4 linked regions of the Drosophila melanogaster genome follow. The protein of the gene in region 1 interacts with the protein of each later gene in a pairwise test. Each region holds a gene or a part of one and is shown in the gene's direction. Other genes may lie near its edges. The genes, in order: CG10086, cg, kibra and CG10918.

Evidence for each region.
Region 2: the proteins of CG10086 (region 1) and cg interact in a two-hybrid assay, tested with the Drosophila melanogaster proteins (one large-scale study listed by BioGRID).
Region 3: the proteins of CG10086 (region 1) and kibra interact in a two-hybrid assay, tested with the Drosophila melanogaster proteins (one large-scale study listed by BioGRID).
Region 4: the proteins of CG10086 (region 1) and CG10918 interact in a two-hybrid assay, tested with the Drosophila melanogaster proteins (one large-scale study listed by BioGRID).

The regions. Positions count from the first base shown.
Region 1 is NT_033777.3:7,786,453-7,795,208, forward strand, and holds CG10086 (uncharacterized protein), read left to right. Parts: upstream 1-4,180; 5' UTR 4,181-4,274; coding exon 4,275-4,389; intron 4,390-5,218; coding exon 5,219-6,268; intron 6,269-6,426; coding exon 6,427-6,671; 3' UTR 6,672-7,031; downstream 7,032-8,756. Other genes in the region: CG18748 (uncharacterized protein), read right to left, coding at 1-89, 149-731, 792-1,000, 1,066-1,215, 1,277-1,391; CG18746 (uncharacterized protein), read right to left, coding at 1,920-2,170, 2,262-2,856, 3,007-3,215, 3,279-3,428, 3,544-3,655; CG2641 (uncharacterized protein), read left to right, coding at 7,757-7,868, 8,418-8,756.
Region 2 is NT_033778.4:14,170,413-14,179,189, forward strand, and holds the start of cg (combgap), read left to right. Parts: upstream 1-3,280; 5' UTR 3,281-4,034; coding exon 4,035-4,160; intron 4,161-5,993; coding exon 5,994-6,130; intron 6,131-6,199; coding exon 6,200-6,279; intron 6,280-6,762; coding exon 6,763-7,065; intron 7,066-7,412; coding exon of another isoform or gene 7,413-7,448; coding exon 7,449-7,609; intron 7,610-7,685; coding exon 7,686-7,788; coding exon of another isoform or gene 7,789-7,791; intron 7,792-7,859; coding exon 7,860-8,184; intron 8,185-8,252; coding exon 8,253-8,417; intron 8,418-8,481; coding exon 8,482-8,629; intron 8,630-8,696; coding exon of another isoform or gene 8,697-8,699; coding exon 8,700-8,777. Other genes in the region: ReepB (receptor expression enhancing protein B), read left to right, coding at 169-310, 1,878-2,110, 2,172-2,271, 2,335-2,396; mRpS16 (mitochondrial ribosomal protein S16), read right to left, coding at 2,619-2,891, 2,957-3,073.
Region 3 is NT_033777.3:14,718,829-14,727,290, reverse strand, and holds the start of kibra (kibra), read left to right. Parts: upstream 1-3,029; 5' UTR 3,030-3,717; coding exon 3,718-3,980; intron 3,981-8,462. Other genes in the region: CG7530 (uncharacterized protein), read left to right, coding at 1-101, 1,144-1,251, 1,361-1,834, 1,902-2,132. UniProt on the Drosophila melanogaster protein: Regulator of the Hippo/SWH (Sav/Wts/Hpo) signaling pathway, a signaling pathway that plays a pivotal role in organ size control and tumor suppression by restricting proliferation and promoting apoptosis.
Region 4 is NC_004354.4:21,426,362-21,433,059, reverse strand, and holds CG10918 (uncharacterized protein), read left to right. Parts: upstream 1-3,803; 5' UTR 3,804-3,816; coding exon 3,817-4,368; 3' UTR 4,369-4,446; downstream 4,447-6,698. Other genes in the region: DIP-beta (Dpr-interacting protein beta), read left to right, coding at 907-1,099, 1,334-1,462, 6,357-6,476.

The DNA.
Region 1 (8,756 bases):
CTTGTAAGACTTCTCTTGCGCATTTCCCGACTCTGACTGTTTCTCAGAGTCACTATGGGAATGCATGGCCTCGGCGTAGTTCGGTGGCGCTATAAAAATCGTATGGTTACATAATTGATATGGACATATTAAAACAAGGACAGCTTACATAGTGTGGATCCTTCTGACCAGGGATATGGGGGAGCAGCTGGAGCAAAAGCTCCCTCTCCCTCAATCAAAGTCAAAGCTCTTTGTTCTGGAGCCTCTGGCCCAGAGCTCTGCGGCGTATATTGCACCGCTGACGGCGATATCGGAACACCACAAATAGTCACCGGCATTATCAGAGTTCCATTGATATGCATGCCCTTCACCTTGGCCACAACCTCGATCTGGTATCCGATCTTGATAATGCGGCACAGATGGAAACATGAAGGCGGAGTAGAGGGTATCATCAGTTGGAAGTCGTACATTTTCCGGGAGTTCCTCAAAACTCCATCTGCCTTTAACTTGGCCACGGACTTGCGCTCGCACTTGGAACCTGAACTTAGATCACTGTAGTAGGTGATCATCATTGATAGTCCAACCTTCACTTCGTGCACCCGAATTTTGCTTTCGTTACCAATCAGAACATTTGCGGGTACCGTCTGACCAGGCACAAAGCCAGTCTGCGGCAAATTCAGCTCCAGCGTTAGAGGATCCGATCGGAAGGGCCAGACCCCAAAGGTTTTCTCAGTCTTGGCCTGCACGGGAACCTTAAAAGCGATTACATTGTTATAGCAGACCTCCAAAATTTCGTTTCATGTTATATTTACCTGTGAAACAGAGTTATAGGTGTTTATGTCCATCACTTGAATAACGGTGAAAGCTCTTGAGAAAATGCTGTCGTACTTCCACGGCTGAATGATATTGACATCCACCATATAACGTATACGACCATGAGTCCCCTCGAACGATGAGGGACAATTGATTGGAATTGGACAAGCAAAATTGTAGGACCTAGTTCCCGGCTCCAAAGCCATTTCTTTGCGAATACATAAAATGAAATTTTGACCAATTTCAATAACAAATTATCACTCAATATTTTACCAGGGCTAATTTCGGAACCCAAAAGATAAACTTTACTGGAAAGGTATTTCTCAAATCCATTGTACGACTCTGAAGTGGACTTGTTATTCGAATCAGTCTTGCTTTCGGTCCAATGGGTCTCTGCATAACCTTTTAGCTTAAGTCGAATTGCTTAATATGTAAAATGTTGCGAGAATTATATGAAGTATCGCAATCACAACTGAGTACTTACCTTTGATTTGAATCGCCTTATCAGTGCTCAGAGTCACTTGACCAGCAACCATTTGGCCCGCGTAAAAAACCCCTTGCGTGTTGTTGTGAAAAAGAATTTGGCAAATTATTCCCATGGTTTTTTATGGTTAAAGCACAAGTTTTAATGAATTTAAGTCTGTCGTTAATTGTTAAGATGTTTTCCCTTCAATTGCCGCAATCAAACTGAACTAAAAAGTTTCTTACCACTTATTTTGTGCAACGGAGAGCTTTTGGTAATTTATCTTATCAGTACACCCATAAATCTATTTATTGGTAAACCCAAAAACCCCCTACAATTTTTTTATACAATAAATAGATCATTCGTAACCAGCTAACATGAGAACTGAATTATCAGGTCCAAAAACAGCTGATACTTATATTTGTGGTGTAAAAACAAGTGCCCCCAAATGAGTTGAGGCTCTCGCATCTGAAGATAGCAATTTCACTCAAATAAATATATTAACTCATCGATAAGATATCGCACAACTCAGCAAATATTGCTCACTGAGGTCGACGAAAAGTTCCCGCAGTTTGCGTTCAACCACAGGGTAATTGTCATGTCTGTTGTATTTCGATTACTTATTAATTATTTACAGAGTGGGTACATTCATTTTTAAGCCCTTCTAAAGCCAAGTGCTTTTTTCTACACCTTCATTGACATAGCCGCCATCAGTCTTGGGTTCATTTGCTCTCAAAGTCATTTCGTCCACTTGGTTTGACAAATCAAAGACTGCGTATAAGGGTGAAAACACAATTGTTTCAGCTTTCCTCTCTTGTGATCCTTTTACACCTCTTTTCTGAGACTTTTTCTTCGATTTCGAGAACTTGTGCGGATCCGGGGAGATGTGTTTAGCCTCAGCATAACTCGGCGGTGCTAAAATAAATAAGTGATTCCTTGAATTATGATCTTTAAATTCGAATATGGAGTTTTGTATGAATTTCCTTAAAGCTCCTATTTTACTCACCAATTGAAGGATCCGCAGCCCAAGGATTGGGGCTTCCGAGTGCTTCTCCATTCTGTTCGCTGCCAATTAAAATCAAAGCCTTCGCATCTAGCTGCTGGGGTGGCAGAACTTCACCCCAAGTCCTTGGTTCTTTTTGGAGTTGCTTCGTTAGCGGGACACTTCCAATAGTTATGGGCATGTGAAGGGACTGGCCGCCATGACAACCTTTAACTCTGGCCTCCGCTTCCACCTGATAGCCGATCTGAATGATGCTGCATAGATTAAAGCAGGTTGGCGGAGTTGGCGGCACCTTAAGATCGAAGGTAAACTGCTGCCGGCATTTGGTCGACACACCTCCGCCTGTTTTCAGGACCATCTCAAAACGGTCCTTGTTGGTGTCCGCGGACGGGGGTTGACTGTAGTAAATCACCACCATAGTCAGTTTTACGGTTATGTCCTCCACGGCTACACCACTGTCATTGGAGACCATCACCTCCACCGGCACGATCTGTCCTGGCACAAAGCCACTCTGTGGAACAGAAAGTCGCATACTGAGTGGCGACGAGCGGCAGGGAAAACAGCAGAAAGTTCGCTGGGACTCCACTTGACTAGGTACCTAAAATTTATAAAATATAAAAATATAAAATTTTATACTTGACCATGGTACAACCAAAGACACTAGAATTAGACATTATTCTAATGTCTTTGGTACAACACATGGTACAGTGGACTATTCCATAGTGTGTGGAGAGACTAAGAAACATACCCTCAGCATTAGGCTTTCGGAGTTCAGGTCCATCACTTTGATCACAGTGAAGCATCGATTAAAGTTCAGATCGAACTTCCACGGACGCACGAACCTCACGTTCACCAGATAACGTATCCGACCTAGTGTCCCCTCGAAAGAAGAGGGACATGTGATGGGCAACTGACAGGCGAATCTATACGAGCTGGTGCCAGGCTCAATAAGCACCTCTGAAATGGAGCTTTGATTTCATTATCTCTAGATTTATGGTGATTTATCATCTTCGAACATACCTATGCTGGAACTAGACCCGTGCAGATAAGCCCTAGTGGCCAAGTAGTCCACATGTCCGTTGAATGATTCACCATTCGACTGATCATCCGGATCGTGTTCGGTATCCGCCCAGTGGGTTTCGGCATATCCCTTGATGTTAAGGATTACAGCTGAAGTAAAAATAAAAGCTATTTTAAGCCCCTGCAACACTTGCACTTCAAATCAATTAAGTCTTTTAGCAAGTAACGTTTGTTTTGAGTAGAGCAAAATGAATCAGCGCCTTACCTTTCACTGACTTTTCCTTCTCAGTTTTAATGACCACCTGTCCTGAAATCAACTGGCCTGCATAAAAAATTCCTTGGGAATTATTGCAGAACTCAATCTCACAGATTACCATTGTGCGGAATAATTTGTATGATAATCCGGGAGCTGTTTAACTTTTGCCCTGTCTGTGTCGTGGCTCCCAACAAACTGAAGTCACCCGCTGCGGCTATTTTTATTTTATTTTTTGTGCAGCATTTATTTGGCCAACATTTTTATTTTATCTTATCAATGCGATAGGTATCTCAGTATTTAAACACAAATTTTTACCATTGCTATCGGAGTATTTACATATGTAAGTGACAGCAATTTGAGAAGTACGAAATTGGCAGGCAGAACTGATCGATGAGGGCCAGTTTTCCCAAGGTTGAGATAGCGATGATAGGGCGTTGTACCAATAAAGAAATAGAGGATAATGGAGTCCCTGATTTATCGCATAAGTTGTTAATAAATTAATGAAGGAATTTCTCTCAACTGGCCGCGTTGCCAACTATCCAGATAGACAAATATTGCAGTGGGTTTTGTACTGAGTTGAGCCGATAAGATAATGCCAGCCGACGGTAAAACTGAAAATGAGAGTCCAGGCCATGTTAGCAATACAGTTGGCCCAGTTCGTGTTTAGCAGCGGGCGCGTTAGGATCGCTCGCAAATCTAAAAGCTCTGGAGAGGCATAAGCCCATTACCTATTCGCCAACATGTCGAAGAACTGCATGATAACGTTCGACCAGAATGAGCACGGCACCTACTTCACCGGCCAGGTGATAACCGGCAAGGTGATTGTCAATCTGAACAAGACCAAGAAACTGCGAGGTAAGTAAGACCAACTAGGATACCCCAACAGTACGGAAACTAGTGGGGGCTTTCGCTTATCGAGCGCGGCGTATCTTATCGCTTCGGATAATGTCAGGTTTGGCAAAAGCAAAAGATTCAACAAACCATTGAAATGGGTAATTAAGTGATAACTATGCGGACACTCCAAATGTGCGATAATTGATGATTCCTGGAGCCGAAGGGGAGCGATAACAACCTTACTTATAGTTGGGGATCTACCCAACGAATTATATTTTCTTTCGAGGAAATACCAGGGAACTTACTCACGGTTTTCGTCTGGGCTTTGCAGTGATATGGACAACAAGTTTTGTTGATTCTTCGAAATATATGTTTTCTACTTCTATTTAAAAAAAAAAAGGTTAATTTTTGTCTTTAAGTTATTTCATTTCCATTTTGCATCTGCGTGCTTGCAGCCCAAATCAAATATTTAAACAATTTGAATAATTTTATAGTGTGCGTCAACAGTTTCCGTATTAGTTAAATTTAAAATGCCCCTAAGACGCTTTTATTAACTGTTTTTGGAAATGTCTTTCAGTGCTTCTCGCTTTTGTTTTATCTTATCCTAATATTACCCCTACCTTATGAGGTAACCCAAAGAGATAAACAAAGTGAGCTAGTTTTATTAGGAAGCCCGTTGTATTTTTTTTTAACTTTTTTATTAAGGTACTGATTTCTTTGTCTATATTATAGCCTATATTATAGTATTATTATGGAAATATTATAAATGTTAGTCAGCACATCTCATATTTCTCTGTTAAGAAGTCATGTTATTGAAGATCTACATATTCTAATATTTCTTGTCTTTTAGGAATAAAACTGCAAATAAGTGGCTATGCGCAAGCCCAGTGGCGCATCCGCAGACATGGTAAGGCGGTGGCAATCCAAAACCCCAAGAAGCGATCAAAGCACCAGTACAGCGGGCGGGAGGACTATATAGCCTCCACCACTTACCTCATGGGTTCCGAGCAGGGCAGCAACTTTAACATGGACGCCGGCACGTACACCTACACTTTTGCTTGCCCCATTCCCAGCCACTGCCCCTCGTCCTTCGAGGGTGCCTATGGACACATCCGGTATCTGGCCAAGGTCACCTTTTTGAAGCCAGGAGCTTCCAATCGCACCCACAACGTGGGCTTCACTGTGCTAAAGCTGCTGGACTTGAACCAGGAGACCAAGATGCTCCGGGAACCGGCGAGCAATGAAGCCGTGGAACACTTTTGCCTGATGCACACGAAGCCCGTGCAGTTGAAGGTCACTCTCCAGCAGCAGGGCTATGTTCCGGGTCAGTTCATGTTGATCCACGCCCATGTGCGTAATGACTCCAGCTCCGATTGTCGGAAGCTACTGATCATGCTGCATTTGAGAGCCACATACACGGCGGATACGCCCTCGCTACGCACCACATCCGAGAAGATAATGCTGGTGAAGCGCGAGTGCGGTCCGGTGGCTCATAATGCGCAGAGGACTTACACGGAAACCCTGAGGATTCCGGCAACGGCGCCCACCTGCGAGCACCTAAGCAAGGTGGTGCGCGTATCTTACGAAGTGCGTGTGGTGGCTGTTATGAACTGGCTTATGGCTAATCCCCGGCTCATAATCCCTGTGACTATTGGCAACGTGCCCCTGGCAACTGCGGTGTCCGGACCGGACTTCCTGCCAACTAACGCCTTCCCATCTGGAAGTTCGCTGCCTGCCGACTTGCCATGCACCTCTACAAGGGCCATGGAACTGGCTCAGATGGCCGCAAGCGGGGTCAGCAACTCCGGCTACGAGATGGCCGAGGATCTAGAGGACTTCGAGCTTCCAGAGGATGGAGATGATGAGTTGGAGGCCGCCGACGATTTCGTACCAGATTTACGTGAGTACAAGAGAACAAAATATTTCTAGCTAGGACTTTGTTATGAAAGATGTTAAATAGAGCCCTTATGTATATGTTCTTTATATTTTTGTTATGCTATTGTGAGGCGATAGTTTCATTCTTCATTCTCCATATTTTTTATGTCATTTTTTCTATAGCTCCTCCTACCTACGAGCAGGCCATGTTCATGACCACTGATATTGCGGACACGGACGCGAACACGGTCAGCGAGGCCTCCCGATTTACTCCACGCTATCCGGTCTTCGATGTGGACACCTTCCAGAGCCCGCCGCCAAATCCTCCCCAGAAGAAAAGGCGCCGCCGACGCAGACGTCCTGCCGATCCTGGACAGTCGAAGCAACAACCGGAGAAACAACCAGTGGAGTCACCCGTGCAGATCTGAGGGCAGTTATCGCGAAAAATCACGACTATATCTTATCTCGGCAGTATTTATTTCTTTTACGGTTCGCCAGTGTACTTACCAAAATGTTTACTATATATGTATGTATATCGGAATGATAAACAACCCAGAATATAAAAGTGTCTACTGGGTGATACGCGATAAATTGCGACTATAGCCTAGACAACCAAGTCCATGAAGGCATTGAACTACAAATTTATTTATTCATTTATAAATTAAATTGAGTGGAGGACTTCTAGCTCAGTCCGTGAGTTTAAATACTTATGAGAGCTAGAAATTTTGATTTACGCATACATGCTCCCAATTTCTAATTCTATTGCTTGACAATTTCCATTAAAATGCAAAAAAAAAATGTATAACTTCCTCTCTATCTGAGTAACAGGTATCTGATCCGGCCCATTCCGAATTATATAGAATATATAGCATAGAAACGGACATGCATTTATCGCCTTAATACTGATCAAACATTCTCTCGACTGTCAAGATACCCTTTGGTTGCTACGCACCACGATAGAAAATCAGGAACTTCTTGGACTTTTGCGCGTTTGTAAATGAGTACAAATCATCATTAACAAACGTAATCAACTATCACAGACTTAAGTCCATAGACGACTTAACTTGATGTGATTCTTTTTCACCGTATTTCGTCCAAAAAATAATAACAACGCGATAATAACAACTCAACTAAACTAGAGCTTTCACAGAACCCACCTGATTTTTGTTTACAAATTTTTAGATTTGTTGTTGCCTTATTCTTCGTAACAAAACAAACAAAAAAGAGAACCGTTTATCAAAATCCGATGCCTCTCAATTTTGTTTTTTTTTTTTAGTGAGCGGAAGCCCCAAAAGCTCGCTCACCAGAAAAGCTTTGGCTCTCGCCAAGTGATGATGTCACTGACATCCCAGCTGTTGCAGACCGGCTATTCTCATTCTAAATTCTCACTTCGGGTGCGACGCTTGTCTGGTGCTAAATAAATTCACGTTGCGCGTCGCCAGTGAATAAGATCTGGAATTTCGAAATATATGTGCCAGCACCCACATACTAAATAATAGATTGCATTTCCAAAATGCCTTCCAGCTGCTCTTTTGAGCTCGATCGCCGCGAACCCATTTACTACAGTGGTGAGACGGTCAATGGAAGGGCCATTCTGACAACAACATCCGAAAAGTCTGTGAACGGTGAGTTTTAGTCGTTAAAAAGCGAATGGACTGATATGTTTTTAATTTGAGCGTAATCACTGTTGACTCTGTGATAACACCAAGCCGGTTTTATAGAATGCAGCAAACAAACAAGTTTGTTGTAGCGCCATAAAGTGTTTTGCTTCTTATATAAGAAGGATTTTAGCGACCATTTATGTGGCTTTAATTGTCTCAAATGTTTAATTCCTAGTATCCTAAATTGCATGCCCTGATGAGCTCAGTTCGCCCCTAACTACAAATTCATTGATCAATTTTTGCGTTTTTCAAATAGCCAATTCTAAAAACAAACTTGAAAGCTTTACAAAAGATAACAAAAGTATGTATACAAGCAAACAAGTATTTGATACAGTGCTCTGTATCAATTTCCATGTTCAGTTCCATTTTTGATTGGCGTAATCTCATTCTGCACTTACAGCAACTCCTTCGGAGTCCGAAGAAGGCTTTCACATACGTTCAACATATAAAGATTCGTTTTCGGATACAAACCATATTCAAATATCACTCTCTCTCTTTTCACTTTCTGATTAGAGGTATACATTCTTTTCGAGGGCGAGGCAAAGGTGCGATGGGATGAGCGGCGAACAAGGACGAGAGGTGGAAAGACCGAGCACTACACGGAGTATTTCCGAGGCAAGCAGCAGTACTTGTACACCCGGACATCGGTCTTTGGATCCGGGAATCTGCCGCCAGGTACGCACACCTACAACTTCTGCATTCCACTGCCCCTGGAATGCCCCTCATCAGTGGTGGCCCAGTACGGAAAAATCTTCTACGAGGTCTCCGTGGTCATCGATCGCCAGTGGCGCTTCAACAACGTCTTCAAGCAGCCACTGACGGTCATACAGACCTACAACCTCAACATGAGCC
Region 2 (8,777 bases), on another chromosome or scaffold:
TATCGATAGGCGGCGATAGATGCGAACAATAACGCATCATGTCTTCGATTGTCAATAGTCCATTTGGCACCGATAGGCGCAAGCACAAACTATCGACTGGCATCTGGAAAGTCGGCGGCGTCACATATTTTTGATTGACTATATATATTTAAAAACAATTTGCGCAAAATGGCCACTCAGGTGAAGCAGTTCTTAAACGGCTACAAGGATGACGTGAGCAAATCGCTGCGCGATGCTTCCAAGCCGTGGACCAAAGTCTTCGATACCGTGGAGGAGAAGACCGGCGTGGACCGGGTCAATATTTTCGTGGGTGAGTGTGGAATATCCTGGCGACGTCATCGCATGTCCTTCGCCGAAACGCCCATGTAACCTTCTGCTAGTTGACTGCGTAACCATTGAGATTAGCCTAGAGATGCAGTGGAATATTTCGGGATGCTTATAAATAGCAACCTGTTATATATAGCAATGTGTATGTGGCTGAATCAGGATGGTCGGGGGGGCTTAATAGCCGCCAGGTGACCAATTAACGAATTAAACAGACGACTTAAACGGCAAAGCCCAATTAAATAGTGTGTCTATATTATCACCGAGTGCCTGCAACCAATACACCTCAGTTTGTGAGCATGCGATGTGTGCGTGTAAGCGACTACGTAGACAGCTGGCGATGTGTGCGTCTGTTATCCACAAAAGTTTCATGTTTTGTGCTTTTCTTTGTTTACTTCAACGAAAGTACACTTTTTTTTGCCCAGTACGCGGTGAGCAATACATTTGGCGCATTCCATTGCCATATTCTCTAGACGAAGATCTGGAGAAAGTCCAGTTCGGCGGGGTCAAAAGGTCTGAATTATTGAGACGTGGCGCTGTCGGCACACGTGGAGCCAATCTACTCACTCACCTGTGTGCGTTGGTAGAGCTTTCAGTTCGTTCGTTCGGTGCTCACCGGAGTTACCGATGTGGCTCTGGGACTATATTATGCTAATCAGACAGCGACAGGAGACGCGGCGCAATGTCAGAGTTCCCTTGGTTTACCTCGGCATAGGTGAGAATGTGGTCATAATGGCAAAAGTAGCTATCTTTCAAAACCGAAGTCTATATACACTTGCAAAAATGACGGACGTTGATTCATCATACAAACATTTGGCCTCATTAGCTGTTCAACAGTTCGGCATACTTTAATAATCAAAACAAATTGTGTAAACAAATATATGCATATTAGGGAACAACCATTTATGGAGAATTCGCAATTCACATCAAATGATCTGATCGACTAAGGATATAGTTTCTGTGGCTTGTAATGAAACCCACCTTTTTGCAATGATGTTGCTCAAATTAAAGTACCCTCAGCCAGGGTATAAATATAATTAGCCGCCATCGAGCATGAATGACATCATAAATTTATGGCAAAACAACAGGCCGTAGTCCGCTCATCTGGGTGGGCAAAATGCAACTGGCCGGGATCAGAGGCAGGTCGAGACATCTACTGACAACAGCTAAGGGTTTATAATTAGCCAACGGCATGGGGCGGTTTAAAAACCCCAGGGATCCACGAAGGGGCGCCCTTGAAAGCTGTACGAGCACCTGGCACTGTGCCCTTGGAACAGTTAGTCTTGTAGCTAAAGTTTGTAAGTGTTAACTCCATCTGATCACCCTGCGCCCTGTGGAACCGCTCCTGCCCTTGGACCTGCTTATAGCCATAAGGGAAAATGCGCCACTAGGGCAATATCAATTGACCAACTAGATGGCGAACATGGCAGTCGAGGAATTAGAGAGCAAAATTGTCCAACTGTTCGTAGAGAACCCCCTCCTGCGCTACGGTAGAGCTCCAGCAGTGACTTAATGCTATTTACTAATAAGGTATTATATTTCATCATATGTAGGTGCTGTTGGTCTGTGCGCCATCTACCTGATCTTTGGCTGGGGCGCCCAACTACTGTGCAACATCATTGGGGTTCTGTACCCTGCATATATTTCCATCCATGCCATCGAGTCCAGCACAAAGCAGGACGACACCAAGTGGCTGATCTACTGGGTCACGTTTGGAATCTTCACCGTGATTGAATTCTTTTCGAGTCTGCTAACTTCGGTGATTCCCTTTTACTGGCTGCTGAAGGTGAGCTTTGCATTCTTCACATATAAGAATCTTCTTTTAAATGCTTCAACTCCACATGTAGTGTGCTTTCCTCATCTGGTGCATGCTGCCCACGGAACAGAATGGTTCTACCATCATCTACAACAAGCTGGTGCGACCCTACTTCCTGAAACATCACGAATGTGAGTAAATTCACCTCTTAGATATTGCAATTTTACTAAAAGGAGATCAATATTTGCACACAGCCGTTGACAGGATCATCGATGATGGCATGAAGAAAGCCGCTGGAGTGCTGAAGCATGACTAGAAGGCGAATGTACCGTAGCTCCGACCGCTTCTCGCTTATCCATGCATTTGGTTTTGGGCCTGGTCACCAACCTCACCTCGTATTGGTTACGTTTTGCAATAAATTTTAATTCTGTATTCATTTTGTTGTTGATAAGAGCACCAGTGTTCGCTGAACCAGAAGAAATCTCCGTTTGTTAAACGTAAAAACGAAAAGGAGGCTTTTATTGAGGCACAACTATATTTATGCGGTTGATTCCGCCTTTTCTGGCGACGCCTCCGCTTCAGCAGCTGTCCTCCGGTTCCGCCAGGCGGTCATGTAGGTGCGCGGGTGGATGGGCAGTAGTCCGGCAATTCCCAGGAGTTCTGCAGCCGGCGTGGACAAGTGTGCACCTTTGCCCAGCCAATAGCGAATTCTCTCCGTGTTCAGGGCCACCAGTCGTTCGTTGTAATCGTTGGGCAGGGGATCAAAGGAGCCCACCTGCTCGATGACAGGCTGGTGCTGGTTCTTGCGCCTCTAAACCGGAAAATACAATTACCAATTAAAAGTTTTAACCATTTTAATGGCCTAAAAGTACGCACCTCCATGACGACAATGTGATAAAAAGGCCGATTGGTGCATCCCAGGCGTACGAAACGTATGATTTTTGCCGACTTGGCGTAGAAACGACCAATGCCACTGGCTGGCGATAGAGACATCCCGATATTTTATATATCTAATACAAGTTTTGGCATAAAATAAGGATTCTTCAATCAGAAAATGTGAATTGTTATGCAAAGCATGACCGTTGAGGGAAAATTTAACAATACCAAGCGATTGGGTCACACTATTAGTTAGCCCTAACAGCGTTGCCACCTCCGACCGCCCATGTTAGACAGTTGCGGCACCTCGACAACCCTGGCCTGCGCACACACAAGATGGCGTCAGAGAACGAGAAGCACGAACACTAAGGAATTTGTTCAGTGGTGTCTGTGTCTGTGAATTATATTGAAGGAAAAAGAGTGTTTTGTTTATAAATTTAATTGCAAAAACTGCACATCGTCACACGGGGCGCGTGCACACACATCGGCGCACACGCACACCCACGCCAAGGCGACACCTAAACGCAAAACGGAGAGTGTGTGTTATCAATGGAGTGTGTGTTCCCCAACGCCAAGTGAATTTTTTTCGTTGAGACCGAGGGACGGAAAAAAATGGCGCCCGCAGCCAGAGCAACTTGACTTTCTTTTCGGTCCTATATAGTTAGTAGTTGCTTGCCCCCGTCTCGTCGTCGGCGAGCGAATTCGGTGATTTTATTTCGATTTCGTCGCAGTGCGATATCCCCAACGAAGAAAACATAACGAATAATTGATGAAAAAGTGCTTGAGAGAGACCCCCCCAAACGTATTCGAATTTGTTGTGTACATTTTGGCTTCGAACACAGCCGCAAAAATACCATTACCAATTTCCACTTACTACTACTAGAGAGGAGGATAGTATTTTGTACGTGCTTTAGAATACATACATACATACCTACATATACCACAAGCAAGCGAGAAGTGCAATTACATTTGCGTTTGGAAATTTTGCGCTTTTTTCTCTTCCGTCCTCCCATCCAAAAAAAAAAACCCCCCGCTCCCCCTCTCTCTCTATCTTTCTCAACCCGCATTGTGCTAAATAATGTGTGCCGCCCAGAATCCGCCGCCCTTCGGCTATACCTGGGGTTTTGCGGACAACGGCAACCGCGCCGCCGAATCGGTACTGGAGATATCGCCCAACATCAACTATACAGTCAGCGGGGAGTCGGTGAGTCCAAAGTTATAGCTCTATTAAACTGATAAACCCGTTGAAAGCTGCCAGTCTGAGGATATTTCCCCCCTGTTGCCGACATTGCTCCAGGTGCGTGCGTGTGTGGGTGTTGGTGCTGCTGTTGCTGTTGCTTTCCCACACCGAATTGTGTTGTGGCCCACCAATGCATACACACAAACGCACACACGCACTGCGTTACACTCGCTCACGGACTCGCTCGTCTCACCAACACTCGCTGCTTTCGGCAACGAACTGTGTATGTATACGGCCCGAATGGCATTCACGTATACGGTATACGTGGAAAACGAGCGACAGCAACTGCGATATACATACTTACGTACATGTACAACGTATATATGCATACGCCACACGCTTTATGTAACTGCGTTGTCATGCGAATATACGAATATGTACGAATGAACGTACGTATGTATGTTTTTATGGGGGGGATGGAGCGAGTGTATTAGAATTCTTTTAGCATACATCCATACGGATTTTTTTCGTTTCCATTTCATTCGTAAACATTCATAATTTGGTATTTGTAAAACGAATGCGTACACAATTGGCTCTGTGTGCGGAGAAATTCCCAAAATACAACACGCGCACCTGGCGAGCAAGTAAATAAATAAATAGCAATAAATTCCCCCCACAGGCAAATCGGAGCAGTTAATTAGCGGGAAGGTCGTGAAATTTTCAAAAGTCTGGCAGCTGGTACAGGCAATCGATGCTAATCGATATTTTTCTAGGCTATTCATGCATATATCGCTAACCTAATTTAAGTTCTATTAATAATTATTGCTTATCCATAGGTTTTTTTGTTGTTTGTTTCTTTTTTTTTGAGAGCAATATTTTTTGTTGTGCAATTGACAGGAGAAATTGTGTTTGTTGTTTTTTAGTTTATATTTGCGGGCACTTATACAATGGCAAACGCGGCGAATTCGCCGCACTTGCGCGCCCGATATCTCCGCATGTGTGCGTCAGTGCCGAATTCGCCGCGCTTGCTGCCCTCTGTATGTGTGTGTATGTATGTATGCACGCACACTCGACCAGAAATGACGTGTGCTCCCCAGTGTGCGTTTGGTGTCGTGCGTGTGTTTTGATTACTTTTGCCGCACCATTTTGGCGCCCATCACACACACTCCCATGCCACGATGTCCAATTGCACTCACACACATACAGAGTGAAAAAGGCGCGCTTTTTGCGAACATCCCCTCCCGCTCTTAGCGCCCAACTTCCCCCCTCGTTCGTCGTCTATCATCTGTTGCCGCACTGCTGGCTGCGCAGGTGTAGCGTGGTTATTGGCGGTTATTATCAATCAGAGCGAAAACAAAAGACAAGCACTTGGCCAATAGAAGCATCAACCGCCAACAACTCCAAATCACAGCCTGCAGATCTTAGCGAGTGGCGACTGTACTTGCTGCCAAGTTTTAATTTCCCAAAAAAAAAAAGGTTCATGAAGGTCAATTCATTCATAAGTTTGAGCTGAACAATAAAACTGCTACAAGTTTACTTCCTCTCATTTGTTTAAATCGTTTTTGGGACATTAAAATTGTAGAAATGACTAGGGGCAATGTACATAGATTAAAAATTATTTATTATTCTTTTATATAAAAGAGCCTTTGTTGTTTGATATGTAACATTTCTTGAATGAAAGATAGATTTATAAAAAAAATGTGTAAGCCAGGCTTTCCTAAAATCGCAATTCCCAGGACCACGTGTAAACTAAACATGCAACTCCTACAACATAAGCATTATTAAGTTTATTTAGAAATTAGGACAAACCTTTAATTTATCCCCATTAGCCATGAGTACTAAAAGTCTTTGTTCCAGATGCCCTATCTACTATCGACGGATGGATCATTGGCAGTTCAAAAGGATGTCAAAGGCCTTACAGCTGGCGGCAAAAATAATGTCGTTCGTCGTATGTTCGTCGTAAACGATCCTTCATTTCCGCCTGGAACACAAAGGTGCGTTGGCGCTCCAGCAGCCCAAAGAGATCCCCAATGTACATATACCTAATTCTCAATCCCTTGCAGAGTTATCACTGCCGGCGGAGCATCGACGGTGGTCAAGAAGCAGGACAACAATCAGCAGGTCCTGAGCCTCGACAAGAACTGTAAGTGGATCGATTCTAAACGAATCAAAAACCCATCGAATCGATTCAGTGTTGCACGCATTGCTGTTACTGTGTTGTGATTATCTATATATTTTGGGTTTTCTGTTAATCGATTGTTTTTCTCTCTCTACTCCCGTTTATTTATTTAATTAATTTATTTTTTTTTTTAATTCTCGCTCGATCTCGCTCGCCCTTGAATTCAACCCGAAAAACCGAACCCGAAACCGAAACCCAAAATCCACCATCTCCTCCGATAAATCCCATTGTGCTTGTGTGTTTGCCCGATTTTGCTATTGCACCCGATCCACCACCGACCCACCGATCATCTCGTTAACTGCACCGCATAAAAACTACAACATTACCATCTCACCATATAATAACACACACACAACACCTCATCACTTGGCGGGCGGCGGGCGCGGGCTGATCGAACCTTCCTTCAACCGAAATGAAACGTATCAACCCATCGAATTGAAAAAACAGATCTGCTAGTGGATCCGGCCACGGCCGCAGCAGCTGCAGCCGCCGCTGGTGGGGATTCGGGTCTCGCCCACCACCATACGTTGACCAATGGCAGCATTGTTGATGCGAAGACCGGACAGACGGTGCTAACCGCCGGATCTGCGGCGGCCAAGTCGCACTTCAGCTCGATCGGAGCACTGCATCTTACGCAAGAGGAGTGCAACGAGATCCTGATCAAGCGCGCCATCGCTGCCGGCCACCATCAGACGCACACGATCACCGCTGCCGACGGATCCCATCACCATGCGTCCGGCGGGACACCAAGTAAGCATCTCAAATCTGTGTTTGTTACCCCTGATCCAGTCCCTCCTGCCACCTACTCCTCCACACACTACACACTACAATCAGATCTGATCCCCGATTGAAGTAATCCTACCGGAAAATACCCGGCATATTGGTACATTCTCGGTTCCGGTTGCTTTTACCTGGTTGCGTGGTTACGTTGTAATCATAGTTTTTGCCATTGTTTAGTTGGTCTAACATTGTTTTAAGTTTGATTAACCCAATTGAACCCAAATAGTTTGATTTTGCATATTCAGTTTGTTCGGATCTTTGATTTTTTTCCTTTGTTTCTTCTCTATTTTTTTGTATCTTCCTTTGAATTCCATTTGGCTTTTGTTCCGTTGGCGGTGCAACAACACTCTTAGGTGACATACTTCCTGGTATTTCAGTTCAAGTGCAGAAAGTCATACAAGGACTGGAGGATAACGAGGACTCGCAAGGCGAAGCACCCAACCTAAAGTTGGAGCCAGGCACATTAGAGTTGTCCCCGAAGACCGAACTACAGGAATCAATGCATTTCAGCGAAGTAAGCCAATCTCTTTGGACGAAGTTCAACTGAATTATTAGTGTGATATACTAATGGGTTATCTGTTTATTTTTAGACGGACGCCACCATCAAGAAGGAACGCCCGTACAGTTGCGACGAGTGCGGCAAGTCCTTTCTGCTCAAGCACCATTTGACAACCCACGCACGCGTGCACACAGGTGGTTGTTCTTGTTCCTGGCAGAATACCCGAAACATTTGAGCAGGTCTAATCATTCCGTTTGCCCCACAGGTGAACGCCCCCACATCTGCACCCATTGCGGCAAGAGCTTCGCGCACAAGCACTGTCTCAACACTCACCTGCTGCTTCACTCCACGGAGAGACCTTATCAGTGCCAGGAGTGCAAGAAGAGCTTCACCCTCAAGCACCATCTGCTGACCCATTCGCGGGTCCATAGCCGGGAGCGACCATTCGTCTGCCAGGAGTGTGGACGCGCATTTCCGCTTAAGCGACACCTGGTCACGCACAGCAAGTTCCACGCCGGCGAACGACCATATGTATGCGAGGAATGTGGTGAGAGCTTTGCGCAGGAAAACCACCTGATTATGCACTCTCGGTAAGTTGGCTCTTTTAATAATATCGATGATTTTCTCGCTTGACTGTTGATTGGTTTTTCCCGCACAGCTTCCACGGTTCATTGAATCCATTTGTTTGCGCCGAATGCGGAGCTTCGTTTCCACGCAAGTTTCAATTGGTTAACCACGGACGTATTCACGGCAAGATTCCCCATTCGTGCACCGTATGCGGCAAAGAGTTTCTACAAAAGCGAACGCTAGTTTCCCACATGAGGTAAGGACGCCGCATATATTGTTATATTGTGTATTATTAATTCTTAAATAATTTCCTTCCAAAGGCGGGTGCATACCGGCGAGCAGGCGCATCCCTGCGTCAGCTGTGGCGAGGGATTCCTCACCAAGGCCGAACTGCATCAGCATGTGAGGACGGCGCACAATGGCGTCAATCCCAACACGAGCAGTGCCACCATCATAGCAAATCAACAGGTTTGTAGGATGAGCCTTTATTAAAACCATTTCATAGAAATTGACTGATTTAAATTACAAACTCAAGCAGCTACAGCAGGCCCATCATCACCAAGCTGGACAGCAAACGCATCCGCAGACCATAACCGTGGTGAGCAATCCGGGCAAC
Region 3 (8,462 bases), 6.9 Mb from region 1:
CGCATCAATTTCCGTCCAATGAGGAGCCCAATATTCTGGGGCATGGACCCAACTACGACGACAAGCTGTCCAAATTCAAATGGCTGTGCAATTTCGATGATGTGAGTTAACCCCACGCGCGAACTTTGGTAGGGTCAATTTGTCGCCAATTGTCGCGCACTGAATTCTAATTGATCGCAAATTTTGTTTGGCGAATTGAAAAAATACGTCAGAATCAGGGACAAATCGCAGAAAATATTCACTCATTGCATTTTACATGGCTTTAACACTGATTTTGGCCAATTGTTATCGTCATACGTATGTATGTATGGCCAGAAAAGCATTATTAAGCGACCGTTGTAAAATGGCCAAAACGCTTAAATATGTGAAATCCGCCATGGCGGTCGAGTTGGCAGCAATTGCCAAATAATACAATTAGACAACGAACAAACCCACCAAATGCCAACTGAATCAAGGTCGCGACTAGCAACAAATAAAAAGCTCTGTGCTTCGCGGGCATTAAATATTTAAATAGCGGTGGCAAATAAAAAGAAGCTACTGTTGTTTTCTTTGGGTGGTATGCAAGTTACATACATATATGTTTGTGAAAATCCTCAAGGTAACTCCCGAATCGAATTTCTTGGGTTTTTCGGACCATGCTTAGTTTTGACCAAGTTAAATATTCGACTTCGAACTGGGCTTAAAACGGGCTTGAAATAATTACTGTTTCCGATTGAAAGGCATTAATTAAGGTAATAATACATAAATGCAGTGCAAAACTAGCTTAGCACTTGTTTAACTAATTAAATGGATTTTTTATAATATATAAAACTTAGCTAGTTAAATTCAAAGAAAGTAAATAATATACACAGTATTTGGCATTTAATCAATTCCCATACAAGATTGCTAACAACACAAATTGGATTAATTAGTTTTATTTTCTTTCAATTGAAGCAAATGGAAAGCTTTTTGGTTTTTTTTTTTTACATTCGGCGGGGTGCCAGATCCTCGAATTATTCCGTTTGTTTCTATTTTATTTTGTCATTTTGTCTATTTGGTTTTTATTTTATTTTCAATGCTACACGCATGCGATTTGCATGTCTTATCGGCTTGGAAAATTTTGTATTTATTTGGAATGTTTATTCACTTGTGCTTTCGATACAGGCCCCCAGTCACCTGAAGTTCAACCCGTACATTCGTCGCGGATACCGCACCTTTCTACCTTCCACAAAAATGTGCCTGCAGAGCATTTTCTGGTGGACCAATGAGACGGTAAGATTGCCACACTAGAATGATACTCCATTCCAATTGGAGCTACAATAGTTTTCCTTAAACTCTATTCCCTATTATTATAACATTATTATTGCTATATTTTTCATAGATCAACATCTGGAGCCATCTGGCCGGTTGCATCCTGTTCATTGGACTGACCATCTTCGATCTGCAGTTCCTGCGCCTCCACGCCTCCCTGAGCGACCAGGTGCTGGTGGTCTGCCTGCTGGTCTGCTTCTGTCTGTGCATGCTGATGTCCGCCATATACCACATCTTCTCCTGCAAATCGGAGGAGCACTACGAGCTCTTTCTGTCCGTTGACTTCCTGGGCATTTCGCTGTCGCTGGTGGCCATCTATATCAGTGGCATGTACTATGCCTTCTGGTGCCACACCTTCCTGCGCACCCTGTACTCCACGATTGCACTGGGCATGTTCGCACTGGCCATTGCCGTGCAGATACCCCGTTTGAATGTGTCCATGAACGGCAAGGTGGCGGTGCTGCTACTCTGGTCTGCCTATGGAATCATACCTCTGGGCCACTGGGCGGTGGCCATGGGCGGTCTGGAGAACGAGCTAGTCAGGGTAGGCATCAGTTGGAAATTTATGGAATCTTGTCATTTGCTAATCCATCAATCATTACCATTTGCAGCTGATGGTGCCCCGCATCGTGCTCATGTACTTGCTCTGCCTCGTCGCCTTCGTTTTCTATGCGGCCAAGATTCCGGAGCGCTGGTTCACCGGCAAGGTGGACTTCGTTGGGCATTCGCACAACTGGTGGCACCTGATCATCGTGGCCGCCTTCTATCACTGGCACAACACCGGACTGGTCTATGCCGAGTATCGCCTGAATAACGGATGCACTGCACCAGTTCTCTCCTAGAACTTGAAGATCCGAACATCTGAGTTAAGATCCGAAGATCCGAGGAGCGGAGATGGAATCCGGGACTCTAGTAGACTAAAGCTTAGTGTAAATAGTTTATGGGGCGCTCTTTATCCGCTAATAACTAATATTTAGTTGTAGTTGTTGACCGATATGATTAATTTATGTTTAATTTACCAATTAGTTAGGGTTTCGTGTTAGACAATCCAGATCCAGATAGTTGGCATCGCATAAGCGGCAAAAAGGTTTCTCTCTTTATATCCTAATTGATTTCCTTTAATATATACAATTAAACAATGTCAATGAAATTGCATGTGTCTTGAGCTGAAGCTGTGTTAGTCTTGTTGACTCAATTTTTACAATTCATAAAATGCAAATACAATATCAAACGTACAAAGCAAGCGAAATTGTGGTTTTATTGAAGTTATGTTTCGGAAACATAATTTATTTTTCTATCTATGGTTGGGATACATATTGATTTCGAAATGCGTAACTCAGTTTACAGTCTTTTTTTTTAAATTTTTTCTTTTTCTGTTTTTAAAATGTAACGGAAATGTTAGGATTAAGATAACAGTAATTGTTAACAGAGCGAGTTAACATGATCTATCGGAACTGGCTTTGATTAACATCGCTTGAAGAACCGAACTAGTTCCTGTTACCAAGCCGATCTTTGAACGTACAACTCCTATTTTCTTCCCTCAACAATTACACCTATGCTTGGGGACTACACAAGCCAAATAACAATAAATACTTTTCGTGCATGATTGTTAAATATCGCATCTCTGCAACCGCGTCAATACAGCCTATAATATCGATATCAACCAATACATCGAATAACATCGCCGCGAGTGTATCGATATGCAATGCGATGTTTTCTGCTACACCACTAGCAGCGAATGTTACCAAAACAAATTCCGAATCCGAATCGGACGGTCATCAAGCGCGCTACTCGTGTTTTTTGCTGCTCCCCCAAGGAATTCCGGAACCGAAGAGATCGGCGACGGCGCGAACTCACTAAACTGAAGTACATATTTTTTTGTGAACACCAAGTGGATGGTTGGATTATCGTCGTTAATTAGTTTCAATTAGGCGAAAATAAGAAAATAAGTAAAGGAGTTCAAACGCTTGCAACAACAAGAAATGAAAAGAAGCAGCACCAACTGTGAGCAGTGATCGTGTGCGCTTGTGTTCGTCCCCCATATGTGTGCGTGTGTTTGAGCTGGAATGGAATGCAGTTACGAAAAAAGTAAATAAATAATTGAGAGCGCGCCCGCGCTCTCCCGCTCTCTCTCCCCTGCGCGCGTGTGTATTCGAGTTGGCTCGGTGTGTGCCTCTACGCCCGTCACCGTGTGGCCGTGTTGTGTGTGTGTGTGTGCGGGTCGGTCTCCATTATCGCCGGAGCAAAAGAAACGGAATTGAAATGTCTTTGCTAATGTAAACAGCGCAAAGAGAAACCCCCCGAAAAAAGAAGCAAACGTAGATAGCAATAGCGAAAAGAAAGAAAAGGCGCGCGTCGGGTGAAAAATCCAGCAACAACGACGTTTTCTCAGACTAACCAAAGTACACGGCGAGAAACAAAGTTAAAATGCCGAATCTGCAACAAACCGCATCGCAATCGCAGCATCATCTGCATCCCCACCACCTGCGACCCCAACAGCAGCAACAGCAACATCATCATCATCATCAACAACAGCAACAACAACAACACACGCATCATCAGCAGCAGCAACAACACCACAGCGACTTCCCACTTCCCGATGGCTGGGATATCGCCAAGGATTTCGATGGCAAGACCTATTACATAGATCATATCAACAAGAAGACCACCTGGCTGGATCCCAGAGATTGGTAAGTGTTCCGGAAAGGGTCAATTAAAGAAACGAAATTGAAACAAGGGCGATCTGAAATATAATTATAAGATATTTGCATTTGGAAAGTTAGTTTAAACTTATTAAAACTACTAGAACAATTATCAGAAATGAGGCATACATAACGAATGACCAAACCAACAGGTTGTGTTTTAAATAAGTTATAGATGCTTTAACATCGCAAACTATCAAGAGTGCTTATAAACCCCAATTGCTGCTTAATGGCTAATAAGTGAAGCAGATAACTCATTGAGAATCAAATTAAAATAGAATAAAATTCTTGGCAAGTTGTTAGTGGCTTAAGAAGGCATAAAACGCAGGTGAGAGATCAGCAGTTCACTCATTCAGGAAGCTCCGGCAAACGAGCTAAAAAAAAAACCCATATAAATTCCGATTCCGAAGCGCTCTTGAACCGGAAAGAAAAGGTGCGTGCTGCAGCTGTGTGTGTAAAGGAATGCGATCGGTGGAGGCGAAATGAAGCAAAAAAAAAAAAGAAAAATAAAAGGAAAATAAAATAAAGAGGCAGCAGCAAAATAAATTACATATTTTAAACAAGACAGCAGCGGCAGCAGGCAAAACAAAACGCAACGGAACGGGGGAAAAACTTGGAGTAAACATTCCGATGCGATGATTAAGACTCCGAATATAACTGAACTGAACAGAGAGTGGCAACAAACAAAAAATGGATTGTAAAGCCAGGGAAATACAACAACAAAAATTCGAGTGAGAGAGAGCAAAAGTTAAATAAAGCTCGGCGAATGATCTGTAAAATAAAAGGAAAACAAAACCAACAAACTCATACGTAATGAGTGCGAGAGAGCCAAAGGAGAGCGAGCGAGAGCGCTGGCGATCAGGCCATGTATCTCATAGATACATTTTAGTTTGCCGTTCGCTCACATTTTTTGTCTTCCATCTCGCTCGCGCCCCTCGCTGCCGCCCCACTCGCCATCTCTGTCTGTTGCTTTGCCCATAAACAATTGCAAAATGTACGTAGGAATTTTTGCAGTTTCGAAATAATTGATTTCTGAAATTCTTCGCCCTCTCTTTCGCTGAGTTCAATTTTTCGCTTTTCACAGATAGAGAAATGTGTAGTGTTAGATGGATTTTGTATCTTCAATTGCTCGATAGCAAATGCTTATTGCCTTTCTGCAGTTGTACAGCATTTTCATTGACATTAGACACACTCTATAATTTCAATATCACGTTGCAAATGATTTATTAAGCCATCAAAGCTTGAATATTAATTTTTTCCAGTGCATTTCTATCTGTGTACGCCTTATTGTTTCAGTTCGTTTGGTGCTGTGTGCGCTTCACGCTTTCAATTAACACAAACATTCCCTTTGTTTGTTTCAAATCGCATGGACATTGTTGAAAATGTTTCACTGAATTAAGCGTTGTGGAATTTCAGCTCTTCCGCCCGCCCGCCTTTGAAATTGAAACGAAACATCTGCGCATTTGCTAGGGTTATGCATCAAGTAGATTATAAATGCACACATGTCGTTCAAATGTCTGCCAGTGGGCACAAAAAGTCAGCGATCTATGAGCGTTACGTTCCGATTTCGGGGTTATAGAAATTTAAAGCTTAAATGACCTTAGGGGATTTACTTACTATTTGAAAAACCAATCAGATTATGAAGAGGGATACCATAGAATATAAGAAATAAAAACAAGAGTAAATGTTTTATTGGTATTTTCTGTATACATCTGCAAAGTATGTCTTCGAATTTAACTAACTATTCCATATTTTTCCAAAATAGTTTTACCATTTCTATTGACCAAACAAAACTATTTAATGCTGTATACACCCCTTATTGGTATTTTGCCCAGTCGCGCATATTTTGTATCCAAATCATATACGCTTTTTGGTCCCCTCTTCGGCTGTCTATCGATCCCCCGCATCCAACTTGCTATTGCTATTGAATTTTCAAAATTGCTGCCGGTAGCGCGCAAAAATTCCAATAAACCATAAATAAATTTCTACAATAAAGCGAAGCGAGCCAGGCCTCGGGCAACCTTTAAAGGCCTCGCCACGTTTCGAGCACAGCCAACAGAAATCACAGAAAAAATAAATATCTATTCCAATATGAGCATGCAAGGTCGAATTATCGATACCCTTGAAATATTTTACCGATAATTGCTTGGGCCGGCTTTGACGCAGGTTTTTCTAAGGTTTTCTAAAATTAAATAAACATGTTTGCAATAGTTTAACAGTAGATTCTGTTTGTAATGTCTATAATTTTCAAATTCGGCTTAAGTTTAGGCATTATCCTCATTAGATAGTAAATCGTGTAAGATTCAATCAATTAATTAGATGACTTTTGTCTGTAAACTAATAAAATGACTGATCAAAATAATGGATTTTAAAATTCGCAGCGTATTCAACTTAAGTAAATGTTCATACAGCATTTCGACGGGCGGTATTTTTTGTGATTTTCGTTGCTGTTGGCTCTCTTTTGTTTTTTGTATAAACAAAAGTTAACAACGACTTGACTTGGCCATGCGATTTGGCATTTTTTCGACGCCCGTCTTCTTCTTTCGTTGCTCATATTTTTTCGCAAGTTTTTGTGTATTATTTTTTTTACCAATTGTTTAGCCATAAACAAGGCGGCGACATAGTGGAATATTTTTCGTGTGCGTTTTTAGACAGAAAACGTGTTTGGTGACAGTATTTCGATCTATTCATAGGAGCTACAAAAAAAAGAAATAACCAAAAAAGCACGGGGAAAAAATCAAAGTATGAAATAGCAACAAAATCGTTTGGCTACCAGTTGGGATAGTGATTCGAACTCGTTTGTTTTACATAAACTCAAATCGCCGCCAAAAAGGCCTAGCGAAAGCGGTTAACGATCGCTGTCATAAGTCGGACAGAGTGGCGCCAGCGGCGGGGGCTGTACTTGAGTATCTGCATCCGATCGGTAGCACAGAAAAAGATATAAAAAAGCAATAGGTGCACCGCAAGAAACGGTGCAACGGTATTCTAATAAATGAGTCAGTTCATTGGTATATCTTACTACATTAACTTAACCTTATCATCAGTATGTTGCCATATTTCTCGCTGTGTACTCTAGTCCCAACCAGATTGTTGCGTTCTAATTCCACCTGTGGCATTTTAATTCGAGAGCGGACAATCGAGCGGTTGGTTCGATTTCGATGGATCGCCGGATGGCCGGATTGCTGGATTGCTGGATTGCTGGATCGGCCAATTGCATAAAGAACGCAAATCGGGCGATCGAAACAAGAGCTGCAAAATAGGGGAGAGGCGTGAATGCGTGTGCTGCCAGGCATTGTGCATTAGATGTGGCGATTTCTATCCGACTCAAAACGAGCTAAAAAAATTTGCATAAAATTCAATTTGGCTTTTGCGGCGAAAGATGCCAGCACATCCATACGCGTATGTATAAAGATACATGCATATATAAGTATAACTATTCGTACATATATATAGATATATATATATATGCGCTGGTCTGTACATGTATAGCAACTTGGAAAGCTGCAAAACGGCATTTTTCATTTAATAAATTGCACAAGGCAATGCAGCAACAACAGCGGCAGCAAGAAAAGTGGAAAGAATGCAGATGCAATTGCCGTTTGCTGCTGCTGCACCTACAGTGATAAATGCCATAAAAACAATGTCAAAAGATTGCAAAACAGTCTTTATTGCACCCAAACTGATTCAAATGTACAAGTAGCGAGCGTAAAAGATAGATGAAATGTTTCAATGAATACGCTAATACATATTTCAGTTTACGTTATTGTAGTAACATTTTAAATTGCAACAGCAGTGGCACTTAGGCAATAACCACTGTACGCGGGCAACAGATGCAGATACACGGCAGCGGCATCAGCAGCAACAACAACATGCAGCATGCATTGCATTTGTGCAACAAGTATTTCCACTTAACAACAGCAACAACAGGCAAGTAGAAATTGTTGTTGCTGCTGTTGCAGTTGCTGCTGCTGCGACTGCTGCTCCCTGCTGCAGTCGAAGTTGAAGCCGTGATTACAATTTGATTACGCGCATGAATGCAACGCGCGGCTTTGCCAGCAGCAACATTTTCTAGTTTGCTTGCTGTACGCGGCCCAAAGCGTTAAAAAATATTTTCTTTTGCACTTGCGATCAGCGGCAGCAGCATTTGCAGCACTTGCAGTACCAGCAACTGCAACAGCGACACTCGTTGGCCAAAGATAGGCACATGGGCACATAATGTATCTGACAGATACATAAGCGAACTTTAGTCGCTCCTCGCAGCACCGCATGTTTTGTCCATTTAAGCGTCTGTTTTTCCACCAGAGCCGCGGCTCGCTGCAACTTGCCACCAACTGCCATCTAAAAAGTGGCAACAACTTCCAGCCAACGACAACAACTTCCCAGCAACAACAACCACGATAACGCGACGGATCTGCAACGACTTTTCCTGTCTCGCACTTGTTGCATGTCAGCGTCGACGTTCTTCAGCAA
Region 4 (6,698 bases), on another chromosome or scaffold:
CGACATGTGGAAAACGATTGCGTTTTCAATTTCATTTCATTTATGCTGCAAAGATGGCGATGAGGGAAACGTGGGTGGGTGGCGGTACCACCCAATCCCGGCCGCCACTTCCCACTTCCCACTCCCCGTCTCCCCCTTTGTAATAAAATCAACCTAACAAAGCGAATTGAGTGAAAAGCAAATATGAGACAAATAAAACGCAAACAGGCTTGACATTTCTCCAGCTTTCTCGCATGCCGTCCTGCTTTCCAGCATTTTTTACCCACTGCCGCCGTATAAATTTCGCGCTTGGCTCGTTTGGGGTTTTCCCTTTTTTGCTGCCAGCCAGCCTCTCCTTTTTCCCAGTGACGTCAACTTTATTTTATGACACAACTGTCAACTGACAACGACAATGATAGCAGCAATTCGGTTATTGTTGCTAGCAGCCAGCAACCGCAGAATGAAACAAATGTTAAAAAAGGCAAAAAAGGGGAAAAAAAAACATTGGGCATGGGACATTGCGCTCTATAATGAGACGGCTATTTGCCGTTGAGTGCAGCTAAAATGTTGACTAATACTTATTAAAAGGGCTAACATTAGTGGCACCTTCAATTGCATGAAGCGTTGAACATTGATTCAAATGTACATATTTTAAACTCGATTAAAAAAACAAATTATATCGAAAAATTGGGGCAAGAAATTATTTAAAAAAACAGCTTAGTAAATACTGATTCGAAATCATTAAGTTCTGTATTAAAGGAAAAAACTTTAAAGTCTTTTAAAAGAACTAATATATATATATATATATATATATACCTTGCTGTATGGCTGTATGGTTCACTGGGCGTATGCGTAATATATATAACAGGTCGAATAAGCGAACCTTATGGCGAATTTAATGTGTATCCGAAATGTTTTCGCTTGCAGACGGCCACCTTGGAAGTGGTCATCCCACCGGACATTATAAACGAAGAGACCTCCGGGGACATGATGGTCCCAGAGGGCGGATCCGCCAAGCTCGTTTGCCGAGCACGTGGTCATCCGAAGCCGAAGATCACGTGGCGACGCGAAGATGGCAGGGAGATTATTGCCCGCAACGGCTCACACCAGAAAACAAAAGGTAAGTGCAATGCATCCTACTCACGGACTTGCAAAACTGAATTATTGCATTTAAAAATAAAAAATTTGTATGCTTCCTGCCTGATTAACAATACAAATATTTAAAGCCAACTGCAGACGAACCGAACTACACATTTACACAATAATTTAAACATATGGAGCCCATTTTAAAGCAACCACCACATATTGTTATGTACTCACCCCTATACCACAATACTCATTTCCTCACCCACAGCACAATCGGTGGAGGGCGAAATGCTGACGCTGTCGAAGATCACGCGATCGGAAATGGGCGCCTACATGTGCATTGCCTCCAACGGAGTGCCACCGACGGTGAGCAAGCGGATGAAGCTACAGGTGCACTGTGAGTACCACTACAGTATATAACTATCCATATATGATACATGATAAATGGGTAGCGCCACCTGCAGCCGTTGGCCAAGAAAATGGACTGATTTATGGCAGTCGAAGGCAGCTAATGCCGCATAATAATCATAATGGTAACATATAGCCCCGTTCGGATGTGCTGTGCTGTGCTTGTTCCAGAAGGGGGCTGTTCCGTATCGGAGTCGTATGTATGTGGCAGAACTATAACCGGAAGCGGAAGAGGAACAGGAACAGGAACAGAACCGCAGCAATAACGCAGCGGCGGCAACTGCAAGTGTTTCCGTTTCGATATCCGGCAGCTTCCTTCACGTGGCCGACAAACTTTCCAAATGCATTAGGGCGCCAAACTTGTGGATGTTGGGTCAAAGGGCATTTTTCCCTACGAATATGGGGAAAGGGGAACGGGAAATATGGAAAACGGGTGGGGGGGTGGCGGGTGTGAAGTGTTTCTTGGGGTAACGCAACGTCACGTTTCTGCAGTAAAACTTTAAAGTTGTGTGAGTTGGCGAGTTTGTGTGTCATGTGAAGTGGTAATTGTTAAGGTTCTGCAGTTCTGCACTATCCCTCTGTCTGCCCACATAAAAAAACCCCCTTTAAGACCTCTTAAAAAACCCCCCCTGTAACTGTTTTACCTTCCCGCATCAAAGTTAATGAAATTTCCAAAAGGGGCAAAAGTTCAAACGACGACAATTGGGCAAGCGCAAAAGCAAGAGGAATTGGGAGAACGCAGAAAAAAAGGCGGAAAAAGGGGAAAAGTACGGGAAAATGAAGGAAAGCCGTAGGGGAAAGCAGAAGAGGGACAGCGAAGAATACCTAGAACCACCAGCTTCTCTGAAAACCCAAAAGATTGTATCCGAAAATTATATTGACACGGTCGTGAATATGTGGCGTCAGTTTCTTCAGCCACACACACACATATGTACTTACTTTTGACGCAAAAATTAATTTTCATTTATATTTTTTTTTTTTTTATCTAAGCCGCAAATTTCTTTTTCTTTTTCTTTGTCATTTCATTTTCATTTTACTCCAAACGAAGTCACCCACCTTCCGGTCCTCGAAATTTCAATTTAAAAATCCCCATATGTGCGGAAAGCGGGAAACGCCATTCTATATTCGCGATTCTTAAACGCCACCCACTCCCGCCGCCCAACTAGGTGTCCTTGTCTCAGCCGCACATTTCACTCGACGCCCTGATTGATTCTAATCAGAAAATTAAGTGGCTCCTCGAGGTCGTTTGCCATGTATTAGCACTAATGTTAAAGATTTCTCTTCCTCGACATCCGCAACTCTCGAATTGGGAAAGTCAGAAAAGCTGTTCAGAGCTTTACTTTTCAGGAACTTAATCCACATTCACTCTAAGATGTTCGATCTTCTATACATATTTTTTTATTAATATAAGAAATATATGTTTATTACTTGGCAGTTGATATAGATAGATTTTAGACATAAATAAATGGCGCAAATGAAGGCTAAGCATGTGTATTTACAAATCAATTGACTTATTTCTGCGAATAAGTGTTACCAATTGAAAGGCCTTAAAAACTAATGAATTTACATAGTTCCTAACTTTTAATAAAGCATGAGAAAATTCAACTTTCGATGCTGGAGTATAAAACAATGCTATAGTCGAGTAAACCGACTAACAGATACCCGTTGCATACGCTTCTACGACTCTAGTATACCCCTTTACTCAGCAAGTAACAGGTATAAATATGTAAATGAAAAAATGAACAAAAAATATAATTTTTCCGACTGAGTCATAGATTTTAAGAGAACTTTTAAACGAGTGCTATTAGAATAAGTAACCCAGTTGTTGACAACAAATAAACAAAGTAAATAAACAAAAATTTGCAGTAGGGTTATAAACCTTCAAATAGACATTCATTTTCTTCTAAGCAAATTTACAATTCGTCTTAGTATTTGGCTAACGTTATGATTGTTTTTTGTTTCATTGTGAGGATACTGCGTAAATTTCTGTAAACTTCCCTCTCTGACACAGCACTTTTTTTTAAACTCAAACGGTTGTATTAAAATAGAAGAATAGAACAATGGAACTAATTCAAACATCGACCAGCTGTTGCCACACGACGAATGAAACAAGAGAAACACACGGATTATTAGATGCGAAGAATTCGAGCTCAGCTCTTCAGGGAGTTCTTCGCTCTATTTTCCATTCTTCGGAGTATCCAGCTAAGCACACAGCCAATGCTGCCGTCACGGGGGATTCTTAGCAAAAAGGCTGATGGATGAATTCGACACCGAATTTTTGGGTATAAAAGGGGCTACACGTACATAACTCAAATCAGTTGCTATTGGAGCAAAAGTCCCACAATGCGTGCCTACATTGCAATTACCCTGCTGGCCCTGGTGGCAGTTGTCGTGGCCCAAGGGGGAGGCGGAAGACGTGGTGGACGCGGTGGCGGCGGAGGCGGTGGCCGAAGTCTTGGAGGATTCGGAGGACGTGGAGGCGGTGGCTTCGGCGGTCGCGGTGGTCCTGGTGGTACTGGTGGCCCCGGTGGCTTCGGCGGACCTGGTCGCTTTGGAGGGCCTGGAGGACTTGGCGGTGGTGGAGGATTCGGAGGTCCCGGCCGCTTTGGCGGTCCCGGAAGCTTCAATGGTGGATTCGGCGGTCCTGGCGGTTGGGGCCCACGTCCACGTCCTCGTCGCCCAAGACCTTGGTGGACGACAACGGAGAGTTCCTTGGCCGACACCAGCAGCACAACTAGCAGCTCCTCCAGCTCCACCGACAGCAGCTCCTCTGCCAGCTCCACTGATAGCTCCACCGATAGCTCCACCGATAGCTCCACCGATAGCTCTACCGATAGCTCCACCGATAGCTCCACTGATAGCAGCTCCACGGAGAGCACTACTGGTTCGGGATAGATTCTGAGTCTCAATTGCAGCGTATTGAAAACTTTCTGGGAAATGTATGAAAATAAAATCTAATTGGCACATTGAAACTTAATTTCATTAACTTGGAATATATTAGTCATATACAGTCATATTAGTCTTACAGACTAGCCGAATCTATTCAGCAATGTCCGTTCGTATTAAGACCTTTGATTCGCACCAAAAAATATCTCGATTAGCATATGAGATTGAAAGCTGTCTCTTAAGAGAATTATCGTTTCTGTTATTTCTTCGATATCGACAGGCAAATCAATCATCTGATTAATGAAATATCATCATTTGTTATCATAAAGTAAACAGCATGAAGGCTAGTTATTTTGATAATTTAATTTTGGCAGCTGCCTGCCGAATAGCTCTATTAGGGCAAATTGAATTTTCAATAAGTGGTAGGCTAAGCGAGAATTGGACATAATAGGAAACACCCGACACCGCTGAGAACACCACATGACATATGCTGCACCATTTCGAGTCCAAAGGGGTGGTGCAACGAACGGGGGCACGGGCACAAACGTGCGGGGAACCTAGTAGGAGTAGGGACCGAAAATCCGGACGCCATATAGAAGAGGGCTGAGAGTGCGGAATGTCCAAATCCAATAAATTGACCAATAATGAACGCTCGAATGCAGCTCGAGGCGAGAGCGCTGTGCAGTGGGTGAACGTGGGAGCAAAGTTGAAAAGCCAAAAAACAATGATGGTCAGTGGCTCTGGCCTGCGGTACTTTGGTCCTTCGCTTTTCCGTCTGCGCTCCCTGGGGCGGCTTCAAGACAACGTCAAAGGCAAGGGCGAGGGGCCAGAAGCTCGAAAAAAAAGACACGAAAAGAACGCAAAAAATCAACTTGCAAAAAATTCCGAAAAGAACAAAAAAAAAAAAAAAAACAAACTCAACACGACACGGACAACATGGAAAAGCTCCAAAGGGCAAGCCCAATGAATTAATGGCACGTCCTTGGCGAACTAAAAATGCTCTATTCGAAGCAAAGCAAGTGTAAAACAATTAATTCGTCGCTTTAAAGGCCTTGAAACCCTTTTCTTACAAAATTACACCCTGCTGTTTCCCAAACACAAGTGCTATATATTCTCTCAATATCTAACTTTAAGCTTTAGATCCCGAAAACTTATGATTTTGAATAGATAGATTGAGCTCTTCTATTGCGTAATAGTTTCTCAATATCTAACTTTAAGCTTTAGATCCCGAAAACTTATGATTTTGAATAGATAGATTGAGCTCTTCTATTGCGTAATAGTTTCTGAATAAAAATCTTACAAATCGCTGAAGCAAATACAAGAGTTTAAACGAAAGATGCTTTAGTGGAGGAATCATTAAACCGTTCTGGGGTCATCACTCCTTCGACAAGAAAAGCCAATTCCCAGCCCAGCCGGATAAGTGACTGTATTCCTAGTAGGGAGTGGAAAATAGGAAAATCCGAAAAGAAACTAGCAATATGGCTTGCTCGTTTTATTTGCCACTGACTGACCACTGGGCGAAAACGATGGATGATGCTGCTGCTGCGCTGCTGCTGCTGCAGGCTCGTGGTCCTGCTGCTGGTCCTGATTGCTGGCCAGGATTGCTGACTTCCACTCTAACAACAAAATAATTCATTTTCAATTAAAATCGTATCAGTTGTTGTTGGCGTTGCTGCCATTAACCGACAGCGAAAAAAAAAAATAAAAATCACAGCTGGAATCGGGAATCCGGAGTCAGACAAAGGGTTTGAAGTTTGACTTTGCTCCCTGGTGGCGGCCAGCTTAATTGCCGCTCTAGTCCGCGGGGGCAACGTTGTGGGTTACGAGTTGAGGGTTTAGGGCGGAGGACAAGCAGAGATTCAGCGGGTTTACGGGGAGGCGGGTGGGCCAGGTCACAAGGCCACTGATGGCTTATTAATTGGCACTGCCACCGGGCGCGGGTTCATTCACCATCCACACTGACTCCCAACCCATTTGCTCCGTCTTCTCCTCCGCAGTTCATCCGCTGGTGCAAGTGCCAAATCAATTGGTCGGCGCCCCGGTCCTTACGGATGTCACATTAATTTGCAATGTCGAGGCATCGCCGAAGGCCATCAATTATTGGCAGCGCGAGAATGGTAAGTTGCACAGCAACATCTTAAATGTCATTTCCCTGATTTCCATTTCTAGCACAAATTAACTCAGTGATACGCAACATTTTTATTTTCAAAAATAACTAAAAACATAGTTTTTCATTTCATTTTAATTCTGAAAAATACTTTGAAACTGTTCAATTTCATTAACACGATTAGATTAAAATTTATTCAATTCTCCATTACCTACAAAAAAAAAAAACTTAG